2 linked regions of the Stegostoma tigrinum genome follow. The protein of the gene in region 1 interacts with the protein of each later gene in a biochemical or structural test. Links are inferred from orthologs where the notes say so. Each region holds a gene or a part of one and is shown in the gene's direction. Other genes may lie near its edges. The genes, in order: tal1 and lmo2.

What was found.
Region 2: the proteins of tal1 (region 1) and lmo2 form a complex in vitro, tested with the Homo sapiens proteins (2 studies listed by BioGRID). The link is inferred for Stegostoma tigrinum from reciprocal best matches to the Homo sapiens genes TAL1 and LMO2.

What each region holds. Positions count from the first base shown.
Region 1 is NC_081361.1:59,149,211-59,157,589, reverse strand, and holds the start of tal1 (T-cell acute lymphocytic leukemia protein 1 homolog), read left to right. Parts: upstream 1-4,808; 5' UTR 4,809-4,995; intron 4,996-5,925; exon of another isoform or gene 5,926-6,223; intron 6,224-7,288; 5' UTR 7,289-7,390; coding exon 7,391-7,878; intron 7,879-8,283; coding exon 8,284-8,363; intron 8,364-8,379. UniProt on the Homo sapiens protein: Implicated in the genesis of hemopoietic malignancies. It may play an important role in hemopoietic differentiation. Serves as a positive regulator of erythroid differentiation.
Region 2 is NC_081370.1:45,064,212-45,072,389, reverse strand, and holds the start of lmo2 (rhombotin-2), read left to right. Parts: upstream 1-4,826; 5' UTR 4,827-5,036; intron 5,037-5,441; 5' UTR 5,442-5,647; coding exon 5,648-5,688; intron 5,689-8,178. UniProt on the Homo sapiens protein: Acts with TAL1/SCL to regulate red blood cell development. Also acts with LDB1 to maintain erythroid precursors in an immature state.

The sequences.
Region 1 (8,379 bases):
TTTACTCTACAATGGTAGCCAACAAGACAGGTCATACAGCCAAAATGACAGCTAGTTAGGCATATAGTGGTGAAAGGTGTATCTATATATACAGATGTGAAAGTATATGTACAATGATGTGTCACTCATGCCATTTATATGTAATCAGAGGGTTTATTCCCTTGGCCTCCCATTATGTCTGGGTGCTGTCGCAGGATCCAGAACTGAAATGGAGACAGCCTGTCTGATATCAGACCCTGTTGGCCGAGAAAATTTGAGTGGATGACTCGAGGGAAGTTGGTGGCTGAGAGGTGTGCAGATACATGTTCACCTCTTTGGCTGCAACTTCTTCAGGGTTGGGGATGACAGGCAGATTGGAGGTAGACAAGCCTGGCACCTCTGTAGTGTCCTGAGCAGAAACTTCTGGAGGCTAGTTTGTGGTTCTTGCATCTGGGTGCTTGCGGGCATAACTCTACCTCCTTGAGAGAAAGGAGCACCAGGAGTGAGAATGAGGTCCCTCATCCTCCTCTTGCCTTGCCACTGATGTTGAACACCGATGGCTAAAACAATGGGATGCATATGAATATTAATTTTTGGAATTCACTAAGTATTCTACTGACCCCACTAACTTGTACATGGCAGTAGCTAGACATACGCATGTTAGAGCCAGTACGGTACTGACAATATTGGTGGATTCCTCCAAAACATTTCTCAAGTTTGCTGAATTTCTCCAAAAAACATTCCTGCTGTCTTTATGACTAAGCATTTAGATGCATTCATTAATGGCTGAAACCATTGGATAATTTTCTGCCAGGGCTGAGCAGAATCCTGGTCTCTGATAGTTCCCTGAGTGCCAGCAAGCCAGGCCACTTCTTTCTCAGACAATTGTGGAGCCATATTAGTGAAATGCTTCCCAGATTGTGCTCCCAAACTTAACCTGGATAGATCACCCGCCAAGGTATCATTATCTAAGCTGGTAGAAGGCATAGGTGAAAGTCTTGTTTGTGCATTCTCTGAAATAGGTTATGACTTGTACCTCAGAGAGTGTTGAGAAGCTATGGGCAAAGGATTTGCTTCTTCATGGCCATGATGGTGTAGGTGTTGCTTGTGCCTGATAGGTGTTGCTTGTACATGATAGACAACAGGACATTATAGGTGGAACTAGTTTAATTTGAGATTATGGTCAGCTTGGATTGAAAGGTCTGTTTTCATGCTGTTTGACTCTTTGACTCTATGTGTGCTATAGGGATAGAAGCTTGACCATCTTAATAATAAGGTATCAGTGGTGGTAGTATTGACAGATCAACTCAATGGAGTACAATGAAGCTCATTAAATTGTCCTGACATAGAAGCCTCAGCAACTGCACATGCATGGTATCAGTTCTCTCCAACCACCTCAAACATATTCTTCCCATAGTGGGTTGATATTGAAATGACAACCACACAGCCATTCAGACTGTCCCTCTGTGCCCAGTTGTGAGACATTTTCTCCTGTACTGAGAAAAGAAGGGCAATTGAATGAAATGGAAGTGGATGGAAAATGAAAGTCAATGGAAATGGTGGCGCAGGAGCAGCAGCAGAGGTGAGATGTCCGGAGTGAGTGAGTATGAAACACAGAAGGGAGGAAGGGGAGATGTTTAGGAATCTGAGGCAGATGAGAGCTATTGAGTGAAGGTGCTGCATGCAATGATGAGATTTGTCGATCTTTAGACTTGACAGTTTGTGGGAACTGAGAGATAATGATGGCACTTACCCTCATGAAGTGCAGAAGACCACTAACCTCCTTCAGGCACTGCTGCACACTTCCTTTAGTCTGTAAAACAACACTGACCAAGGCTTTTTCTTCATCCAGATTGGCTGTGTCCTGTGTCCCCTTTGATCAATCCAGAGGAAAAAAGATTGATCCTCCTCTCCATCACCGCATCCATCAGCAGCTCAAGCTCCCTTTCACCAGAGAGGTCTGCCACCTTTTCTTTCTATAACATCTCATTGCCAAAAATGATGGAGCAACAGACTATAAAAAGCAATCCCTCGCTTTCAGCATTTGAAGTGGAATGCAGGGTGAAAGGCAAAAAGTCACAACAGCAGCAAGCTAAATAGATTGGGGCTCCTTTCTCTGTGGCATGGGAGACTTGGAGGTGACCTTATACAGGTTTATAAACTCATGAGGGACAATGATAGGGTGAACACCCAAGGTCTTTTTCCTATGGTGGAGGAATTCAAAACTAGCCGGCATAGGTTTAAGGTGAGAGAAGTGAGATTTATGGTGCAGCAGAGGTAGATCAGCTATAAATTTATTGAATGGTACAACAGGTCTAAAGGGATAGAAAGACCTAATCTTTTGAATGTATGGAACAATTTAATATGCTATTCCCATTTTCTGGTTTGGTTTGATTCCTACGGTAAATTAAAATACGATTTCATACAGATATTTCATCCCCACGTGGCTTTTTCCTTAAACAACGCGTTTTATGGAACTGTCAAATCTGCAAATTGTTGGCGGTCTGACTAAATTGTTGTGACTTCAATTATCCCCATTTAATCAGACTGCTATCTGGTTCGTTTTGGACTTCCGACAGTTAATTGTAAAAGGGAATTGCGGAGGCACGTTATGGGAACTTGCGCACCGTTCGAGAATGTAACTATATATGTCCCTCAATCCATAAATTCGTATTGTAACATTTTAAAGAGAACATGAAACTAATTCATGAAAACTATTATAATGTCCAAAGCCAGAGTTTTCTGTCCTATAATAATCAGATAGAAAATGTTGTGATAGAAAGAGTTCCTATATTAAAATCAAGAATGTTTTAAGCTGCAATAAATAATTACTCGTAACTTATAAATGAAGCTGTAAATACCCTGCTAGATTTGCCTCAAAATGTTTAACATTTGAAGTGATCAAATGAAGTTAGCTTGAAACTTTACAGCAAAATAGCAACAAGGCAAACACTAAAACATTGGCGCATACAAACTACCATTGCCAACGTTCAGCAGTATTCATAACTCTGGTCCCAGTTTTTGTGGGCATCATCGGGTATTACAACGACAGCTGTTTGCGATAAGGTAACCCTGCCAAGACATTCAAGTTACAGCTCATAGTTATTCATTACTTTTTGGAACAAGCCTGGCTAAGCTGTAGCTGTATTTACAGATATCTATTTTATTTTGTATTTTGCTCCAGTTAGCCATGCAGAAAATATGAATGTATAGATAAACCAACATGAAATTTCCAGTGTAGTTTACATCAGTCATAGAGCGTGATATGACGTTCTAGAGTTCTGGGTGGGGGTGGGGGAAATACAGCGTAAAGCACTAAACTGCCTTATTTACCTTTCGTCTGCAGAAATTACAGTATCGGAGACACCATTGAGTATGGCCTTCAATTGGCTGACATTTGGCTCAATAATGAATAGTAACAATATTAAAAGTACACTGAAGTTACTATCAATCCACTGATGGTCACAATCAATGTCCCTAAGAGCTTGGGATTCGGAGCAGATTAATCCGGTAAAATATTGCAATGTGTTAACCGCACTAGTTATAAATTCTATAGGCACATAATAATCACCAACTTATTTACTCCTTTTATAGAATTTATTTTTAGCCTCAGTTACATTCTGTACCGCATATGCCCAATGTGTAGCTAACAGCATAGGAACCGAAGGTCAAATATTCTCTTTGGGTTATGGCTAGCACAGCCGCGATTATTAAAGAGTTAATGAATATGTAAGTTATTGTGTACAACAGTTACTACAACAGAAAATATTCTGTTGATCGAATAAATCTTGACAAATACCGATTGTTTTTTTTACAATGAGAAGACTCAGAAATACACATCCACAATTACTCTACTTTATAGGGGAGAAGCTAAATCTAGTGATTAAATTCCCATGACTGTCCCCTTTAACTGAAACTTTGTGGAAAATATAACTTCTTAGCATCATACCCACTGTTTTAACAATGTTGGTCGAACATATGGATTCATTTTATCTATTTAATTTTTACGTGTGATATCAATTAATTGCTCTTCAATGCTCAGTATATTCGACGTTGTAATGCAATTTAAGAGAAGTTTAGGGACAAAAAATGTATTTTATAATACTTCATTTTAAAATGGAAATGCAGCCTTATTATTGTCAAGCTAAAAGGAAATGATTTTAGCCACGAAAAGTCAATTTGATCAATTAAAATGTAATCGAATAATCAGCCTTTGTACCAATCTTTTAAGAACGTTTTAATAAGACATCTTCCCTCTTAGGCCCAATGTTGAATTTGTTCCAGACAATTGTAGTGCAATCACAAACCTGATAAAAGTCATTTCTTTTAGGACTTAAAACATACCGGACTTTAGCACTGTTGATGGTAAAATGCCTGTCTAGGAAATGTCTATATTTTCAAACTGGCGAGGAAGCATGGGAAACTATTTTACTCAATCTCCTTCCTTAACAGCGGCTTTGTTTGGTTCTATCATAGAGAGACCGAAAAAAAAACGAACAGTCCTCTCGATGCATTGACTTCGTCATTAAAATTAATTAAGGGCTGAGTAGGTGTTTCCAATTTAATGAAAATATGGAATAATTGCCACAGAGAAAAAAAATATAAATTACAATTCAGGTAGGCAGGCAAGAGCATTTTGCTATTCTGCAGTGTCTTTTAGTGCCACAAAAAACCTATATAAGGTTTTTATGCCTTGCGTTCCAAAGTTATTCCTATGCATATCCATGCAATATTTTTCCGCTTTCCCTCGATAAAATTGCCAAATAATAATGAATCATTTCATAAATAATGGCTTGGCTGTCTTATCTGGGCAGGGCGGCCAGTGCTGGTTTCTTATCTCGCCTGGCCACATTGCTGTAGTGTTCCGCTCTCCATACTAAATAGGAAATCGAACGTGATGTAAAATCTACTCCACTCTCCAAGGCACAAGCTGCCAAAAAAACTTATTACAGCACAAAGATCAGCCATGGAAGGGACTGAAAATGGCTGCTAACACTTTTCTAATAAACAAGGATGGTGAGTAGATTTCTAATTGCCACCTCTTTAGTGTGTCTTTTATTCTTCTACATTTTCAAATGTCAAAATATAACTGGTTTCAAATTGAGTATAAATGATTACAATATAAAAGGACTTTTTGTTAAAAAAAAGTAGAATTTAAAAAAAATAGAAATGGCTGCAAGCATTGTTTTCAATAGTCCCAGGAGTGAGGGGTCTTTTTGGGACATTTTGAATCGCTTAATGGATTATGTATAATACAATCCCTAATGATATTTTAATTTGATTCGTATACATCAAGATTTTTTTTCTAAGGGAAATACCGGCACAGTGACAGAAACGGATGGAGACGCTTTAATATGTTACGATCCAATAGTTTTTCACAATTGCCATCTTGCGCATCTAAAGAATTTGTCAGAGAGAAAAAAAGATATTAATCTCAATGGTTATTCATTTATGGGAGAAAACAACGATTTTTTTTTGTCAGAAAAGCAATAGCGACTCCTTTTAAGATATTGTTGAGTACGTACTAGCTGATTACATTCGCACAGATTCGTTCCATGAACTTAGAAACCGCTATCAACGAACTCGCTCGGAGTTTTGCTGGGAATGTCATCCACCAAATTATTCTGATAGATGAGAGCAATTTTAAGGACATCGTTGTGAAATCTCAATTGTAAGATGTTGTATTTCTGTAGTGCAGCCAAAATATAGGCACTTGCCAATGAATAGCCCTTAAATACCTGCTATAGTTTTGTTTCGTTTCTGTGCACATTAAGGGGAGATCACTTTAAATCAAACGTTTTAAATGCTTTAAGCTAATGCGTCAGAATCTTCAAAATATCTGACTGTTACAAACATCGGAGATTAGGGCTGGCAGCCTCCGTGCATCCAGACTGCCCTCATTTGTCCCATTGTCCTCATGTGTTTATTTGGACCTTTCCATTCCGCTCAGGCCTCACGTTGCACTGCCTTGATATACATGCTCTGCAACCAGGGATTGTTCATTTGAACGTCAGTTTAAAGGGACACAAAAGAGTTCCCATCATTGCAGCAGGAAGATGATGGGAATATTTTCTATGCACTGGGTATTTACATGAGTCTGCGCTATTTCGGGAAATAGATTCTACATCTATTTGCTAAAGTGAGCAACATGGAGGATTTGATCGTATGGAGGTGCAGTTGGTCACTTAATTCACAATGAATTTTACAATCTATGTATGTTTTGGGAAAGGCGGTTTATCGGAGGGTACGTATACATTCAAGACTGAGCGAATTGCACCCCGCATTATCAACGTCGTTTTGTTTCATTTTAAATGGGTTATGCACAATATAGCAATGTAATCTCAAGGTTAAATTTCAATCTTCTAATACACATATACGTCTCTGAGCTCAATTCATTGAAAAAAGATTACAACGTGCCCTGCAGCTTTAGAATTTAGAGAGTGTTTAAACGTAATCCTTAATTGATCAACTGTCTTAAGTATCTTGGTTGGTTTTCCATAAACTGAGAAATGCTTAATCCTTCCAAGAGGCTTTATGTTAGAAAAAGAATAAAGCGGAATGAAATGCTGCAGGTGCTGGCTTCCTTTGTCGACTTTAGTGTAAGAACGAACCCAGTTTCCCAGTGAGATCTGCACAGCAAGATTCAACGGTACTATGGAAATAACAGCAGCCAAGAAGAACTCGTTGTAATTCTTTGACATCAGTTACACTGCAGGGTGACATGAATTGAACTAGGCGTTTTCTAAATGTGATGTAAAATATGCCCCCAATATTGCCCATGGTGTTGTCTGGAGAATATTAGCTTCACCTTAAGGGGGGAAATAAAAGCGATTTCTTTCAGATGGAAGATTACGAAAGAATGCTGCACATCCTGTATTCAGATTATTTTTTAAAGAGTTATTAACTTTCTTGCGCAATTTTGAATCACTGGTTTATGATTTCATCGATGTAAAAGCATTTGTACTCAGAGTTTAAGCCTAAGTTAACAAACCAGAGAAAGAAAGCTGATTTCTGAGCTTTTCGCACTGAAATAAATTACATTCAAATTTTAATAATGTCGATATCACACTCTCGTGTTAAAAATGAATGGTGAATTTTAGTCTAATAATACATATGGAATCCGATAAACCCTTGATGGATTCTCAGCCACTCGATTGGTTGCACTATTTGAGATTTTGTTCATAAAAATGGGCCTGTCAATTGACAACTAGGTTAGTACGATGCAAAGATCATGAGCAAATTTACTTCAATAAAATGTAAACGATTTAATTATGAAGTCTTCTCCTTAAAGATTTTTATTTTGTCTCAGGGGAGTATTTCTTGCAGATGAAGTTGTTTCAGCATTTCTCCATCCTTTTGACATCTCATGGTAACGCAGTCAAGACGGTGAAGAGTTCCACTTTTCGACAAGATGATGGAAAAAATCGGGTCTGATCTTGGTGAAAATCCCAGCGATGATCTGAGTCCTGTGCAGAAAGATTTCCCCAGACATAGAGCAGACCGCGAGGAAGCGGAAAGCACGAGCGAGCCTGCAGATCAGTGCACTGAGGGACAGCAGCTCCAAGCCGAGCAACAATCTGCGTCAAATGATGGAGTTTCCAAGGAAACGAGACACGACTCCCCTGATCCCCTATCGGAAGTGCCAGTCATAAACCTGATGCAAAGAGGGGTGCAGCCTATAAATGAGAGGGATCAGAAAGGCACTTTTACTCATTCAGTACCGACCACCGAGTTGTCAAGACCCCCGGTGCCTCTGACTCTTCAAAGTCCAGTGAGTGAGAATCGGATGGTCCAGTTAACGGCAGCACATCTCCCTCTGCCTGCAGCCAGAGCAATGCTGTATAACAGCACATCCCAGTATCAAACCTTGCCACGTTTAAACAGGTCAGTCTCATGCCAGTAAGTAGCGGTATTTCAACCTTTCCTTTATTTTGGAAGATAGTGAACCTGTTTTCTAGTTTGTAGAATCTGAATAACTACAAGACAAACATTGGAATGAAAATCGATATGCCCCGGGCTCAAAAAAGCAATAAATTGATATCAATTGCTTTCAGGTTAACTAGTGATCACAATTTCATTTGATTTTTTTTAGAACAAGCCATGGATTTCATATTTCCATTGTTGACAAATCTTTGCTTTTTTTTGTTTTCTTGAAAATTATTGTCAATTTACCCCAAGGAACAGCCTCTTAGAGGAGATTTTTGACAGTCAGAATATTTAACTCTTTTGATTTAACAGTATAGATCAGTCAATGATAATTCTGATTTCTTATCACAAACTTTTCTTTCTTGTTGCAATAATCAGCGAGCCAGAACCCTTCAACATGTTCTCCAGTAATCGAGTGAAAAGAAGGCCAACTCCTTATGACTTGGAAGTCACTACTGGTATGTACCACCTTTG
Region 2 (8,178 bases), on another chromosome or scaffold:
GTTAAGCAAAGTCTTGTGTGAAACCCAGAGAATATTGCACCTGTAAAGTGTCGGGAAAACTGCAAACAGAGAAATTCAACAGGAAGAGTTAACAATGGGGCTGACTACTACCCCCTTCAGCAAAAAGACACCTCTGTCAACATGTCCGTTTTACCCTCTGTGAATATACAAAAGAACTGACTGCGACACTAACCTGTATGTGTTTTTGACCAGATGGCCTAATGTGTGATCACTATAACTGTGAGGGCCACAGCTTAGAGAACAGTCATTTTCAACACCCTTGTACTGTCGTTAACAAAGGGAAAGAACAGTCAACGCTGAATGCTGGAAAAGAATCCGCACAACATAATGTCTTCCAACCTGCAAAGCTACCAAAGTCAACACTATGGATGTTATCTAATAATGGCAGCAACATTATCTTATGTGCTCTTCGTGAACAGTTCAATGACTGATTTATACATTTTATAGTTCTATCTTTTTGGTCTCACCTCTTAGCTCTACTCTGTGTCTATGTGTGTTGTGTTACTACTTCTTTTCACATGCAGTAAGCAATAAACCCACTCTTTTTGTACATCAAGGGAGCCTGTTTAATTTAAACATTTTTTTAGAAAACCCAGGTTTATCTCGGTCTGGGAGAAAGGCATTCACAAGGGAAAGGATCTTTATTTTTAAATGAACATCATTGAAACCAACGGAGGGAATGGGTGACCAAACCAGAGGAGGTGGTTCATTCCTCCTCATCTGGGAATTTTACAATTTGAGGTGCCTTGTCTGAAACTGTTACAAATTGGGTAACCTCACCACAGATCTGATTGTAACAACAGAGCTATCTGACACCCCTCTTTGCTGTGTATTACAAATGTATATCATTACATGCCCATCTCTATGAACACAGCAGGCTAAGCAGCATCTCAGGAGCACAAATGTTGACGTTTCAGGCCGAGACCCTTCATCAGAGAGGGGGATGGGGGGAGGGTTCTGAAATAAATAGGGAGAGAGGGGAAGGCGGACCGAAGATGGATACAAGAGAGTTGCAATGGGAGAGAGATTCCCTGAGGTTGGTCGGGGGGGAGGAGGGTAACTTCTTCAAGTTAGGCATCCCTGGAAGAGGCTTCAAAGTGAGGTTAAAATTGTGATCAGAGATAATGGGAACTGCAGATGCTGGAGAATCCAAGATAACAAAGTGTGAAGCTAGATGAACACAGCAGGCCAAGCAGCATCTCAGGAGCACAAAAGCTGACGTTTCGGGCCTAGACCCTTCATCAGAGCAGTTCCCATTATCTCTGATCACAGTTTTAACCTCACTGTGAAGCCTCTTCCAGGGATGCTTAACCTGAAGAAGTTATCCTCCTCCCTCCAGACCAATCCCAGGGAATCGCTCTCCCACTACAACTCTCTTGAATCCATCTTCGGTCCACCTCCTCCTCTCTCTCTATTTATTTCAGAACCTTCTCCCCATTCCACTCTCTGATGAAGGCTTGAAAACGTCAGCTTTTGTGCTCCTGAGATGCTGCTTGGCCTGCTGTGTTCATCCAGCTCCACACTTTGTTATCTCGGATTCTCCAGCATCTGCAGTTCCCATTATCTCTGCTGACCATCTCAATATCATGTTTACTTGTAAATGGAGACCCACTAACATAATCAGGATTCAGATTAAACTAGATCTCCTGTCCGACTTGGTGTCTAGATGATTGGTTACTTACATGAGATCGTCGTTACTTTTTATTCATTCATGGCATGTGTGCATCACTGGAAAAGCCTACATTTGTTGCCCATGCCTAATTGTGCTTGAGAAGATGGTGGTGACCTTTTTTCTTGAACCACTGAAGTCTGCTTTATGGAAATATACCCCGAGTATTGCTGGGACCAGAGCTCTGGGATCTTGATCCTTCGATAGTAAAGGATAACAAAATGGTTCATTCATGACTTGTCAGGGAACTTGAAGGTGGTGGTGTTCCTATTCACCTAATGCCCTTGTCCTTCGAAGTAATAGTGATACTTAGTTTGGAACATGCTGTTAAAGGAAGATTGGTGGTTTACTGCAGTGCAAGTTGTAAATGGTACACACTGCCAGTGTGCATTGGAGATGTACAATGGGACTTCAATAAGACAGGCCAATGAGTGGCAGATGGAGTTTAATTTAGATAAATGTGAGGTGCTGCATTTTGGTAAGGCAAATCGGAGCAGGACATATACAATTAATGATAAGGTTTTTAGGAGTGTTGCTGAACATAAAGAGACCGAATGGTGCAGGTGCACAGTGCCTTGAAAGTGAAGTTGGAGGTGGACAGGGTGATGAAGACGGCATATGCTACGCTTAGCTTCCTTGGTCAGAACGTTGAGTATGGAATTGGAATGTTATGTTGTGTCTGTACAAGACATTGGTGATGTCACTTTTAGAATACTGTGTTCAAATCTGGTCTCCTTGCTACAGGAAGGATGTTGTGAAACCTGAAAGAGCTCAGAAAAGATTTACAAGGATGTTGCTGGGATTGGAGGGTTTGAGTTATAGGGAGGGGCTGAGGGGGCTGGGCCTGATTTTCCCTTAAGCATCAGAGGCTGAGGGGTAACCTCATAGAGGTTTATACAATGGTGAGGGGCATGGATAGGGTGAATACACAAGGCCTTTCTCCCAGGATACAGGAGTCTCAAACAAGAGGGAATAGATTTAAGGTGAGAAGGGAAAGATTTAAAAGGGACCTCAGGGGCACTTTTGCACACAGAGCGTGATGTGTGTATGGAATGGGCTACCAGAGGATGTGGTAGAGGCCGGGACAGTTAGAACATTTGAAAGGCATTTGGATGGGTACATGAATAGGAAGGGTTTAGAGGGATATGGGCCAAATACTAGCAAACGGGACTAATCTGTTTCAGATATCTGGCTGGCAAACATGGCACTGGAGGATCTATTGCCATGCTGTACAGCTCTATGACTCTACGGTGGTGTTAATGTTGAAGATGTTGGGTGGAGTGCCCACCAGGCTGCTGTGTCCAGGATAGTGTTGAGATTCTTGAATGTTGTTATTGGGGCTTTGCTCATCCAGGCAATTAAAGATTAGTGTGTCACACTTCTGAGTTGTGCCTTGTATATGATGGATAGGACATGCAGAGACCAAAAGATGACTTACTCTCTCAGACCTTTCAGCCTCTGACTTGGTAGCCATGGTATTCACATAGCTAGTCCAATTCGGTCTCTGATCAGTGGTTAACTCCAACTTCCCCAGGTTGATTGAAGCGATCCATATTCAACCTAGGAGCAGTAGAAAGCCATTCAGCCTGTTGAGCCTCCTCCCCCATTCATTCAAATCATGGGTTGATTTGATTGTGGCCTCAGTTCCTTTTGAATCCCATGTCTGCCAAAAATCTATCTACCTCTACCTCTACTCCACCACTCTGGCCAGAAGTTCATTCCACAGACCCTCTGCGAGAGGAAAAAAACTTCTCATTTACACTTTAAATGGCAGCTTTATTTTTAAACAATGTCACCCAGCTCTCCCATGGAGGGAGACATCAATTTAGCACTCCCTTCGTCAAGTCCTGTCAGGATCTTGTATGTTTCAGTAAGATCATCATTCTTCTAACCTCCAAAGGATACATACAGACCCAGCCTGTCCAACTGGTCCTCATAAGGCATTCCATTCCATGAAATCAATCAAGTGAACTTCCTCTGAACTGCTTCTGATGCAATTATGCCTATTCTTAACTAAGGACAAATCTGCACTCAGCACTCTCTATGTGGTCTCACCAAAGTCCAAAGTAGCAAATCATCTTTAATTTTATATTTTCTATTCACATTGCAATCAATAGCACCAATCCATGTGCCTTCCTAAGCACTTGCTGTGCTTGTGTACAAATTTTCTGATTCATGTACCAGGACACTCAGATCCCTCCAGGCCTCAGGGTTCTGAAATCTCTCCAGTGGTAAATAGTTATTGCTTGGCACTTGTGTGACTTGAATGTTATTTGCTACTTATCAATCCAAGCTACCCAGGTCTTGCTGCGTTTGGACACAGACTGCTTCAGTATACAAGAAGACATAAATGATACAGAACATTGTGTAATCTTCCAGTGCAGCCCCATTTCTGACTTTACAATGGAGGCAAAGTCACTGCTGAAACAACTGAAGATGATTTGGCCAAACACTTTACTCTGATGAACTTCTGCAGTGACATCCTGACACAGAGATGACTGACACCCTGCAACTCAAAGAATTTTCCTTTGTGCTGAATCCAGCAGTCAAGAATTTTGCTCCTGACTCCCATTGGCCAACTTTTCTCAAGCTCCTTGATACCAGACTCAATCACATACAGCCTTGATGTCAATGGCAGTCAATCTCACCTCACCTTGAGTTTAGTGATCTTTCTGTGTTTGGACAAAGATTGTAATGAGGACTGAAGCTGAGTGACCCAGGCAGAAGCCAAACTAACCAAATGAATAAGCATTATTGAACATGAATGAGTATTGCCGTGTAAGTGCTGCTTCACTCTCAATTACACTTTCTATGACTTTGCTGTTGCATGAGAGTAGAATGAATGGCCAGGTTGGATTTGTCCAGCAATTTGTGAACAGGATACACCTAGACAGTTTTCCACATTGCTGGGTAGATATCACCGTTGTCACTGTACAACTTGGTTAGTTTTGGATCACAAGTCTCCAAACTATTGAGAACGTTGGCAGAGTTGGTGACTTTTGTCACATACAGTGCCTTCAGTATTCTCTGATGTCATCTGGAGTGATTTGGTTGAGGACTGGTGGCTGTGATAATGAGGCCCTCAGGGGGAGGCTGAGAGATCACCCACTGAACACCTCTGACTGCTGACAGTTGCAAATGCCTCTCCCTTTTGCACTGATATGCTGGCTCCCCTATTGAGTCTTGCAGTCTTCTGTCAACTGGGGTCGAAGTTTTCCACCCAGAGTACATTTTGTCGCCCTTTGCACATCTTCCAAGTAGTAATGGGACTGGACTAGTAATCCAGACTGAGAACAGAAAGCAGTATCAACTCCCAAAGCCCATCACATTGTCAAGATCAAGCTTCGTGAGCTAATTATCAAAACCTCAAAACAATTAGCTTCTTAAGCTAATTTTTAATTATTCTAAATTATTCGAATAAACGTCTAATATTCTGGTGCGAAATAATATTCATTATTTTATTGTTTTAAATTATAGCAGTCAAATTTAATGAACTTCATGATGCACCATTGATTAAAATGGATCTTTATCATAAACGCTTTGTGTTTATAATGGTTTTACTGTTTTACTTAATATGTATATAACACGTGCGGTTATATTATGCATATTTTAATGAAAAGATAGGTGCAGGAAAATAGATCAAGTGTTTGGTCATTGCAATGCTGCAATTGTTTCTCAGAGCGGTGTTGCCCTGCGCCTTTAACACAAGCAGGCTCCTGCCTCTTTAAAAGTGATGAGTGTTGTTTTGTAGGAAGGGTCCCTTGACGACGCTTCAAAGCTGCGGCTCGAACACGAATTTCCGCGCATTGTCCGAGTCGTGATGAGGAAAAGGAAACGTGTGATCTGGGCTCAGCGCAGTATATAAAAAAAAGCCAGCAGCAGCTTCAGGGCCTTGCAGAGACAAGAGAGAGAGAGAGCGAGAGACAGAGTTGGCGACCCTGCTCCGTCCCCGAACCAATGTCAGCAACAATCGAGAGGAAATCGCTGGAAAATGCAGAGTGAGTTAAACTGCCGGCTCGTTTTCATTTGCGTTGCAAACCGCTGTAAAGGTGTAGAGATTGCACTCGATTCAGTCAAACCGATCAAGGATTGAACAATTTCCTCAAACATGGGTCCGTGCACACAGTCAGACCAGAGAGACACCATCTGATTGTGAGATTTCTAATCATCTCGATATTCTTGATTTCTACGAGACAACATAATGGCCTTACAACTAAAAGAAAAGCCCCTGATCTTAACCACTTGGGGTTTTGAAGATGGTAACATCTTACGGATTGCATTTATTTTCATTTTATTATTTCATAAACTTTACATTGACGCGCCAGAGACAATTCTTCCGCGACAGTCATGTACCATGCATCATTTCAGTTTTGATTTATTGGACATGTTTACTCATGTCTTTTGATCTGAGCAACTTTTAGCCCTTTAGCAGGACGGCGTTGTGGGAACTGTTTGATTCATACTCAATACATGTAAAAACCGAGTGAAGGGCGAGCGATATTCTTCACGGTAACCGCCACCGCGCCGCCCCCCGCAACAACCCCAACCTCCCCAGTTCACAAAGTGTATTTGATCTGCCACTTATCCGTTATCAGCGGACCCGTCACTTCAATATTAATATTTTGGAGCCGCTCTCTCTTTGGGGAATTCTCGTGACCTCTTCATATTTTAAGTTGAACTTCCCCTTCAGCCAGCTGCAAGGGAATGAACCCTCCAGCCATTTTTCTTTCATTTTAAACAAGCATTTTTTAGGCATATTGCTGAAATATGATGGAAAATGTGGTCACAATAGCACTTTTGAATCCGTAGTTTCTGTAATATATTTTCAATGCCAATATGTGAAAAGGACTAAATATTTTGCGTGCTTCTAAGCTGAGCTTCCAATTGAAGAATGCTTTCTAACCATCGTCTGTTTATTTAAGAAGATTGTGTAGCCTTAAACCAACATTGTTCTATCTTACAATAACAGTACATCGCTTATAATAATGCCCCTATCTCACTCATCTTTCTATTATCGATCCCTTTGGGACATCAACTGCTACACTGAAATTTTCAAGACACAGTTGTGAGTATAAGTATTTAAGGAAGCTTGGCTCATGGGTAATACTGTTGCTTTGGAATCGGAAAATTGAAGCATCAGACTCCATTCAGCTCAAAACCCAGACTGGCACTTGAGTACATTGTCGAGTTAGTTAAGTTAAAGTCACTATCGTCTGCCCAGACCGTTGGGATGCTCTCTCATTGAAGAGTGAGAGATGGCTGGTGATCATTTAATCTCAGGTGAGGGGAGAGGGTGAGAAGGAGAGTCTTCATGGTAACCTTAGCTGGTGTGAGAGTTGAATCCATTCTCGTGGTGCCACAGTGCACTGTAAACCAGCCGAGCTAAATGACCCCAAAATAGGAGCACTGTATCATTAAAGGCACTGTTCCTCAGATATAACATTCAAGCAGAGACCATTGGCCTGGTCAGCTGGATGTGACAATATTCTGTTCTATGATTTGTGGAAATGTTGGAGAGTTCTGGCTAATGTCCCTTCAGCCAATATCAAGATTATTTGTCATTTATCTTATTATTGTTGAAATTTTGCTCCTGCACTTCCCTCTGTGACAACAGTGATCAATTCACATAAGAAATAGGAGCAGGATTTGATACATGGAGTCTGCTTCACCATTAAATAAGGTTATGTCTGAGTTGATTGTGGCTCTGTGTCTGACAGCTATCAGAATTTTTGAGGCTATGAAAAGAACTATGCAAATGAATGTGTTTCCTTATGCAGCTTAAAATGAAACAAATATTTTCTTTGAAAGCCTATGACCAAGAAATACATTATAATGATCTTACAAACGAACTTGAAAAATTCTTCGTAAACACATAGAATGGTTACAAAAGGAGGTTGTTTGGTGTTTGAAGCATCTGCTTTCTCTTTGTAAGAATATTTCTTTAGCTTGTTCAACTTTCTTGCCCGTATTCTGAGATAACCCCAAGGAATTCCTGCAGCAGTGCTCTCGGAGGGAGATGATTAACCTCCAACAATGTTTGAGCTCCTTTGTGCTTGGTGTGACTCCACCCAGTAGGGAGATTTCCATGATTCTCTTTTTGTTTAAAGTTTTGCTCAGGTTTTTGATGCCACACTCAATTAAATGCCGCTTGATGCTAAGAACAATCTTTCTCACCTCATCTCCAGAATTCAACTCTTTTGTCAATGTTTGGATCAAGGCTGAAATGAGACCAGTCGCTGACTCATCCTGGCAAAACCCAAAATGTTCTTCTGCAATGAGCTTTTTTTTACTGAATGATGCTGCATGTCAACAGTACCTTCCTGCCACTCATCATCAACAATGCTTTTTAAATGATCCCTTGAATATGTGTACTGGTTTGGGTAAAACTTGCTACAGTTTCGTTCTCCACTACAAAGTGATGTCAAAATGAGCATAATAATTCCATCCAGAATGCTGACTGATACTCACTCATTTTAAACTAATCCTAG